Linked DNA regions of Daphnia pulex. The protein of the gene in region 1 purifies or fractionates together with the protein of each later gene. This does not show direct contact. Links are inferred from orthologs where the notes say so. Each region holds a gene or a part of one and is shown on either strand. Other genes may lie near its edges.

Evidence for each region.
Region 2: the proteins of cleavage and polyadenylation specificity factor subunit 1-like (region 1) and pre-mRNA 3'-end-processing factor FIP1-like fractionate together in Homo sapiens (co-fractionation; 8 studies listed by BioGRID and IntAct, with this or other methods). This does not show direct contact. The link is inferred for Daphnia pulex from reciprocal best matches to the Homo sapiens genes CPSF1 and FIP1L1.

What each region holds. Positions count from the first base shown.
Region 1 is NC_060020.1:3,222,989-3,227,533, reverse strand, and holds the start of cleavage and polyadenylation specificity factor subunit 1-like, read right to left. Parts: upstream 2,816-4,545; 5' UTR 2,686-2,815; coding exon 2,313-2,685; intron 2,249-2,312; coding exon 1,727-2,248; intron 1,663-1,726; coding exon 1,331-1,662; intron 1,261-1,330; coding exon 1,126-1,260; intron 1,064-1,125; coding exon 926-1,063; intron 848-925; coding exon 728-847; intron 660-727; coding exon 354-659; intron 293-353; coding exon 165-292; intron 99-164; coding exon 1-98. Other genes in the region: modifier of mdg4-like, read left to right, coding at 3,166-3,892, 3,962-4,290. UniProt on the Homo sapiens protein: Component of the cleavage and polyadenylation specificity factor (CPSF) complex that plays a key role in pre-mRNA 3'-end formation, recognizing the AAUAAA signal sequence and interacting with poly(A) polymerase and other factors to bring about cleavage and poly(A) addition.
Region 2 is NC_060020.1:2,901,489-2,906,069, forward strand, and holds pre-mRNA 3'-end-processing factor FIP1-like, read right to left. Parts: upstream 2,978-4,581; 5' UTR 2,905-2,977; coding exon 2,818-2,904; intron 2,754-2,817; coding exon 2,630-2,753; intron 2,500-2,629; coding exon 2,291-2,499; intron 2,225-2,290; coding exon 1,988-2,224; intron 1,930-1,987; coding exon 1,717-1,929; intron 1,629-1,716; coding exon 1,383-1,628; intron 1,321-1,382; coding exon 1,208-1,320; intron 1,145-1,207; coding exon 998-1,144; intron 926-997; coding exon 718-925; 3' UTR 631-717; downstream 1-630. Other genes in the region: pre-mRNA-splicing factor syf1 homolog, read left to right, coding at 3,241-3,282, 3,351-3,499, 3,584-3,707, 3,776-4,200, 4,274-4,406, 4,472-4,581.

The DNA.
Region 1 (4,545 bases):
GTTGAGGAGTAAATTTAGTGTGAGTTTTGTCTTCTGTGGGTCGACTTTCTTCGGTGTTGGTATCACCGTAGAGATAATCTTCTTCGTCATCCATTTCCCTTAATTGAACAGAGTTTATCAATATTTCCTTCCTAAATTTAAACTTAAAGATATCTAGCGTATACTTTTTAGCATTTAGAGATTTGTTGGCCGTATGCAATTTCGTGGTTTCCGGCGAATCCGTTTCCGGGATAGTTGTGTTAAACAAACCACTAATGTCACGGTATAAACAGACGCAAACGACAGGAGAATTCTGAATCAAGAAAATGTTAAATTTCACATTCTTCTTTAAAACACTAAATTTCCATTCTAACCTTAGAGAGGACAGGAAAAATCATTTCGAGTTGAGATCCTTCGACAAATGTAAGAAGACCGATTCGACCATTCTCAGTCAAAACAGCAACATAGGGATCCGAAGCCGATGCCGAAGTTATAAGGAAGTCGGAGTCCATTACTAATTCCTGAAGAACGGTTGCAGCGGCATCAAGTAAACGTACGCTTGTAGGGCAAACTTGAACAATAAATCTATTATTTCCTAGATTTGCTGCCAAAATAGTAGGGCTAGTCACGTTAAACCCTGATTGATCCATTTCATTAATTTCTTGTCCGGTTTGTAAAACCTAATAAGAGAAAAAAAATTATTTACCGTTCAATAATTTAACACGCCGTTTATAACAATAATATTAACCATTGTGGAATCAGCTCGTGAAAGTAGCAAATATGTATGCATAATAGCGTCTTCATTATTACGCGAAGCAAACACAGTGAACATGTCACTCACTTCAGGGAGCTCAAACGTCGTGACAACCTGGATTTCAATTTTAAAGATAAAATTTTAAATATTATTTAAACAAAATAGGAAATTATTTCTAATGTCAGTTTTAACCTGTGGTTTCATTGTACGCTGTAGCACACAAATAGCTCCATTCTTTCCATAACCAGAAGTAGTAACAATTTCAACATCAGGATCTGGACTCTTTTTATCAAAATCAGTACAAGTTGACGCTGGTTCACCTACTGCCATCTAAATTTCCATAATTTATCTTGATTAAATTGACAGTTCAGACAAAGTTATAAAAGTATTACCTGTCCACAAGGTCCAATATTGAGGAGGCTGTCACAAACCTCAAATTGATAACTAATGGCCTTACTGTCAGTCGACTCATGATCTTCTCCATAGAGGTAGTTGTCAATCTCCTCCTCGTCTAAATGATCCAATTCCTTGTTTCAATAGAAATTTTGTAATCTTTTTATTTAGGAATAATATTTAAACAATAAATGTATTGTCTACCTGATCAAAGAGCAAACTGAATTGCTCCATCTTAGGTTTCTTTGCAGCGAAAGGAGTTGCATACTGGTTGTAGTCTTTAGTCTGAAAGGCCAAGAGCAACGAATTGCCAAGCCGTGAGCCGAGAAACAAGTAGTTATCGCAGATGCATAGACAGGTAGTCAAGACACTGGCGGCGGCTTTCTCAAGATGAAACTTGCGTACGGACCGCATACTGTCGGCAAACAACGTTAACACGTATAGTTCGCCACCCTTCAGTGAAAGGACAACTCGGTCGTACTGCAAGAAGGCAGCTCGAGCACAGTCAAGACCTATCCTCGAGCCTTCGTACGGTTCTATTGCGATTGAATTTTATTAATAATAATTTAACTATAAAATAAATCAGAGGCATCTACTCACTCAAAGGGAAGCTGGTGCAGTGGTCCGCAATGCTGTTGACAGACACTCCGTAAGGGGGAACGCTTTGATTTACATAAATGACTGAATTAACCGCCATAATTAAAGCCCCACCTAATGGCTTGGGAACCGGTAGTAATTGAGAGCAATCAAATGGAAGACTGTTCAATGACCAGATTATCGGATGGACACGCTGCTGAGTGTTTAACGACACAGCTACCATATTACAAGTATCCTGGCGGACTGCTATTCTTCCTGGAAATGTTCCTACTGGCTCATAGAGGATGATTAAAGTGGGCTCATAGTAGCCATGTAAGAATTGCACATCAATCACATTGTCCACTCTTTCTTCAAGATCTGTAAGCTTGATAATATACGAAGAAAGAGTAACATTGCTATCATGAGCAGAATCCTTGCGAAAAGGGAGAATAGCTAATGTGTTGCGAAAAATTAACAAAGCAGCACATCTTCCTTCAGGATCCACTCGAATTTCTGGTATTTTGTGGTTACTCCCTATTCCTTCATCTAAAATTGAAACAACTATCATTATTCTGGGTCCATGTAAGCTTTGCACAAATTTATTACTTGCCTTCAAAGTTGTGAAGTGATAATGTTTTCAGGTTATCAGACACAGGGTCATATTCAATAAGACTAAGCTTGGCGTGAGCGAAGCTCATTAGTATTGTATCTTGAGACGATCCTGGGAGACTGACTGCAGCAATTGACATAACTTTTCCAAACAAATTGTAAGATGCTAAGCATTCTAACTTCATTTTGGGAGGTTGGCCATCAGCGCTTTCTTTCCGTAACATTTTTTCATCTGTATTTGGAATAAGCCGGAAAACTCGTAACACATTTGCACCGGCAACCACCAAGTTCTTTTCTTTTCCGCCATAGAAACGGCAATATATCGCATGCTCTACGCTAGTTGCAGGATATGATTGTTTGAATAACGAGAACATTGTTATCTCTTTTGTTGTTTACAAAATCAGTTTTATTTCAAATACTGAAACGTTTTCATTACAATAAATGAGAATAAAAGTTCTAAAAATTTTGACATTCAGCGTTATTTTCGTCCGCTGTAAAGCTTTCAACGTTGACAAATCGAATATTTTCCATAGAACATGTATGTCGGTTCTTTTCTATTTTACGGTCATTCATAAATTGGCCTATTGCTCGTTTAAATTTATCTCGTTCATTGAATTTAATTATGATTCGTGAATTGCTCAATTTGATGAAATTCTGCGAATTCCTCTAATAAGAGTCCGGCTCCGGCAACTTGCAAAAGTTTGCCACTGGCACTGGGGGAAAAGAAATACAAGATAAACTAGCAGACAGCTTTGTTGTAAACTGAAGTAATAAAAACGGAAAACAACAACTTTGTGGGCTTGTTTTTGTTTTATTGTTTGCTACTGCTGATTCTCAAAATAATTTTATTCAAGATGGACAATCAAGTTTGTTTAAGGTGGAACAATTTTCAATCAAGTTTAACTACGACATTAGAGATTCTGTGGGACGAAGAATCCTTTTGTGATGTGACCCTGTTTTGCGGAGGACAAGAAATTCGAGCTCACAAAGTTGTTTTGAGTGCTTGCAGTATGATATTTAAAAGTTTGCTTAAAAATAATACTTGCCGACATCCAATAATAATTCTGCATGATATTAGTCTAAATATTTTAGAAGCTATTCTACAGTTTATTTACAAAGGAGAAGTCAATATAGAACAAGATCAACTAAACAACCTTCTACGAGCAGCAACTTTGTTGCAAATTAGGGGTTTGGCTGGGATTGCAGAAAATGAAGTTGATTTAGAAAATCAGCTCTTAAGCAAACCAATGAAAACTGGTCTCAGTCAGAATTTTCCAAGTTCTGATTTCAGCCCTGTCAAGAGGAAGAAGCCCAAAGTCTCATCATCACCAAAAGATAATGACGCTGAACCTCTTTTGGTTACACCTAAAGAAGAGCCATTAAGTGAAGAGGAAACATGTGGCAGTGCAATTTACACTGATGAAGTTTATGAAAGACCTGATAGCTTAGTTGTATTGGACAGAAAAGAGGAGGATGAGTGCAGTCATGGTGTTATTGATGTTGACCCTTTAGTTACAAAGTCAACCAATATGCCATCAGCTGTTAACTCTTCTGTTGAAATGATTTCTAATTCAAGCCAAGGTATTGTCATAACATTTTTGCAAAATGTTTAATCGAAAGTAAATTTTTTTTTTCCCCGAAATTTTCCAGCGGTTGCCTGTAACAACATCCAGTTTCCTCCCTATCCTTGCCCTTTCTGCTGTCGTGCTTACGCTACCTGGGGTTTCAGAAGACGTCACATCAAAGCTATTCACACTACGAGTCCAAAGTTACCATGCAAGTGGTGCAGCACTGTTATGGCGTCGCGAGGAGACTGGGAGAACCACGTCATTGACGAACATCACTTGAGCCGATCTGAAGCTGAACAAGGTCTCAAGGTTTTGGAAGAAGCACACATGGTTCTCCAAACTACAAACATTGCCGACGATGTTCTCAAAGAAACTGCTGACCGTTCGTTTAGATCTAAAGATAAAAAGTAACAATTTTAAAACTACTGTGTACTGGTATCTCAGCTAACTAAACTCTTATCCATAAACGGACAATCTGTAGTCAATCAAGCGACGGAAGTCTAATAATCTTTTTGTGTGTGTGCGTTTTACACCTCTTTATTATGAAATGGTATTATTATGAATCTTTTAAATATTTCAACTTGACTGATCTTCCCAAACCGTTTCTCTTCTACTGTAAAAATGTTTTTATCTTTTTCAGAAAGTAATATATTCTTTCTTTTTTTG
Region 2 (4,581 bases), about 320 kb from region 1:
GGACCAATATTTTGTGAATTGTTTCTTTTTTCTCTTTAATTCTCACCAACTTCCTTTTGGACATTTGTCCCTTCTTTTCTTGTGTAGCTCTCCCCTTCCTACAATCCCTTGGTTTTTGCGTCAGTTATTTCCTGATTTTGGCTTTTATTTCGACCTTTATTATTAGAATGTATCCTTGTAAACGCTGGTGTTATGTATTGAAATTACGAAATGCTGTAAAAAATATCACTAGTGCTCTTTCCTCCCCTATCCCACCCCCCTTGTAAACATGATTCATGTACAAAAAAATCGTCCCCTCCAGAATTCGCTCTTCGACATCCCACATCCGCTTCCTTCCTCAAATCCTTTTTTTCTGGAAAATCAACGCTTCTCTCTTTCAATCTCTCCATCGAAAAGACAGTTTTCCTTTTTTTTAATATTAAATTCTGTGGTTGGAAAAAAGACAACACCTCCATATGTATTTCCGTAATAGCACACACTCTTTGTGCAACCGACTTTACCCTCTTTCATTTTTGAAAAAAAATACATCCCGAATATATGCGTTGGAATCTTTTCTTTTTGAATCTTATTCGATGGGCTGAAATAAATTGTGATTAAGACGAATAACTCAGGAAAATCAACAAAAATAGGTAAATGAAAAAAGGAGTGTATTTTTTTAAATTGGGCCAATTGCGCAAAATTTAACAAAGGCAGGGAGTGAAATCCGAGTATCGAAAACTAATCAGACGAGCTTTTGCTTTTACTTCTGTCCCTCTTTGAGCGCTTGGAGGAACGCTTATGAGAAGTGGGACTCCGACTCCGACTTTTACTGCCTCGGTGACGACGTCTACGATCACTACGGTCTCTTTCTCCTCGGTCACGATCACGATCTCTTTCCCGGTCACGGCCACTTACACGCTCTTTGTCCTTATCCGAGCGTCGATCCCTGTGTAAGTTGAACGAAATATATCAATTGCATTTTCAGAAGAAGCTCGTCAACGTTTGATTTTCCTCTTACCGTTTGTCGCGATCTCGGTCTCTATCGCGGTCACGATCCCTTTCTCTGTCTTTGCCTCGATCCTTTTCCACTTCTTTTTCTTTTTCTCGGTCGTCTTTAGGGGAGCGACTGCGCGAGCTACGGCGCCTTCGACTGCTGCTGCTTATCCTATTTGCAAGGAAGAGCTAATCAAATGCTGTACGGAGATCGAGTACCACTTATATACAGTACCGAGATTCTTCTCCAGGAACAGGAGGGGTCCCCAGGCTCTCTCTTCTTTGCTTTCCCGGTGGGTTCATTCCCATTGGTAGTGGTATTCCCATAGGTGGTGGTCCTCTCCAGTCCTAAGAGGAAAAAGTTATTTTTATTTTGTTTTGTTTTCTGTTATGGTCTTTAAAATCCTTACCGAAGATCCCCACTGTGAATCCTGAGTAGGTTCGTATTGGTAATAATCATCGCCAGGAGCTCCTGGGCCAGCCATGAACTCATTGGCGTAGGGATCAGGTACTATAGGTGGTGGTGGTAACATCATTGGTGGTGGAATTACTGGTGGCGGCATACCAAATGGAGGAGGTAGAGCCATATTTGGAAAACCAGGAGGAGGACGTGAGAAATCGATCGATACGGGAGGTTTCTCCACAGGAGCTTCAGGCTGATATTAAAATGAAATTTAAATAATAAACTTTAAAGTTTTTTGGTTGACTTTGGATGAATATTTTATTAAGGATACGGGGCCTTACCACTTCGGGAGGTTGCTCCTCCATAGAAGGAGCAGGTGAAACGCCTGATTCTGGTCGGCGTGAAGATAGATTCCCTCCACCAATGACATCAATGGCACCAGCCATTTTGCGTGCTGGCGGAGGGCCTGCTTTTTTCACAACCACTGACCCCGCATATTTTGAATTTTCGTTAACCACTGATATCGGAATCGCTTGGGCCGGGGTCGCCATCATCTGAATCAAAAAATAATAATATCGTCTTTGAGCTTCATTTGTTTACGTATTTTATTACCTTGGGTGGGGGTCCTAATCCAAGGCTAGCCGGAACACCAGCCCCAGACTCCATACGGGATCGCCTTTGTCTCTCACAATATGCTTGCCACGTTATTTCATTGAAACCGTAATTAAAATAATCAGTGATATCAGCACCAGGCTTCCTCCAAGGTTTATCTTCCAGCGAATCCAAACTAAATTCATGTGCTGGTACACCGTTAATCGCCATTGAGCCTTCGAACTCTTCCACAGTGAACTTAAGATAAGATACATATGTTAAAAACAAACTCTTGCATCAAACATGATGTAGCTCAATGTATACTTTGCTCTTTTCCCCCAATCCTTGTGCCGTTGTTCCAGCTGTTCCTCTTTTGACATTAAAACCAGCATAAGCTGCTGGGCCAGATTTTATGTCACCAATCGTGATTTGTACGTCATCATCACTTTCATCATCCTCATCGTCATCATTGTCTTGATCTTCATCTTGTCTCTCATCCTTTTCTTCGTTAGTCTCTGCAGCTTCTTCTGGATCTTTTACAATAGAAAATACAGGATGTTAAAACTGTTATGGGAAAACCAGACAAGCGATTCAACACAGGGAAAGAGACAAGGGATAATAGTTGAAGAACTTTTCCATAATTAAAAATGTACATGAAATTACCATAGCCTTCTCCAGCGTATTCCGTATTTCCGTCATTTCTGTCTATGGCAATATGATCTTCATTTTCGATTTCGTACATTTCTCCATTACCGGTGGTGTCTTGGTCGATTTTTCCATCATCGCCCTGAAAAAAAAAGAGACAAGTATCAATTTCAGTTGACGAACAATAATTTTTTTTTTAAACTCACGTATTCATCTGGTAACTGTTCCGAGGAATAAGGGAATTGTGAATTAGAATTATCTGCCTCATCTGGGTGCCGGACAGTGTCGGCCATATTCGGTTGTAAACAGCAGAAGACCCCACTTCAATTTAGGCCTGAGGGGACAAACAACAGCGAATGTACGCTTGTGGCTTGTCGGCTGTCGCTGTTTCACATCAAACGCAAAAATAAGGTATTTTTACTATAAAAACTTGTGATAATCCATTTTTATAATGATCTCGTTATATAAAAAGACGCTATTAGGGACAAAATTCAACTTTAATTTGGGTTAGACGTAAGTGTGCAACTTGGCAACACTTCACCCGGCAGACGTGCATTTACGTTTGGTTCGTAAATTTATTTGTTAAATTTTATTTGAGCCGAGTGGCTGCGAGAAAATTCATAAACAAAATGGATAAAAGTATAGGGAAGAAAACTGGAGACATTGTTTTGGTAATAATACATTGTTTTATATTGAAGTTGACTAATAGGTTTTAACAATATGTCTTCTGTCTTTAAAGTGTGAAGAAGATTTAGCGTATGAAGAGGAGATTCTACGGAACCCTTACTCTGTCAAACATTGGCTTCGCTATTGCGAGTTCAAAAAGGATGCCCCTCCTGTTGTTGTCAATTTGATTTATGAGAGAGCTTTGAAGGAAATGCCTGGCAGGTTCGTTTGATTGGTTCTTGTAGTAGTACATAGTAAATAAGTTTGTACTCATTTTCAACTATCCACATGTTTGTCTCTTCACAGTTACAAACTATGGTACAGTTATCTCTGCCTAAGAAGGAAGCAAACTAAAGGTCGCTGTATAACAGATCCACTGTATGAAGATGCCAACAATACTTTTGAAAGAGCATTGGTATTCATGCACAAGGTATCTTAAATGCCAATTATATTATTATCACACATTATTAAATACCATGTTTTTAATGAATACCATAGATGCCAAGGATTTGGATGGACTATTGCAAGTTTCTGACTCTTCAACAGAAGATTACCACTACGAGAAAGGTCTTTGACCGTGCTCTAAGAGCCTTGCCAATCACCCAGCATTCCAGAATTTGGCCCCTCTACTTGAAGTTTGTTAAAATGCATCCAATACCAGAAACAGCTGTTCGAGTTTTCCGTCGTTTTCTTAAACTATCGACCGAAGATGCAGAGGAATTTGTCGATTACTTAAAATCTATTGACAGACTTGATGAGGCAGCTGTTAAACTTGCCCAGATTGTGAACAAGGACAGCTTTGTTTCGAAGACAGGAAAATCAAACCACCAACTGTGGAATGAACTGTGCGAACTTAATTCGAAAAATCCCAAGCAAATTAAAAGTCTTAACGTGGATGCAATCATTCGAGGAGGTCTTCGACGGTGAGTGTCTGGAAAAAAATTAAATGCAAATATTTTTACAAACATAGGAATAATTTACTGGATTCTTATGTAGGTACACTGATCAACTTGGCCAGCTTTGGAATTCCCTTGCCGATTACTATATTAGAAGTGGTTTGTTTGAAAGAGCAAGAGATATTTACGAAGAAGCCATTCAGACAGTTACTACAGTACGAGACTTCACACAGGTAAAATACTTTGTGGTCGTCTTATTTAATGCGAATCAAGTTAACGTTTTTCTGATTTACGACAGGTGTTTGATGCCTATGCCCAGTTTGAAGAGTTGAATTTGAATCATATGATGGAAGAGATTGGTCAGAAACCTAATCCTACAGAAGACGATGATATTGAAGTTGAGTTGAG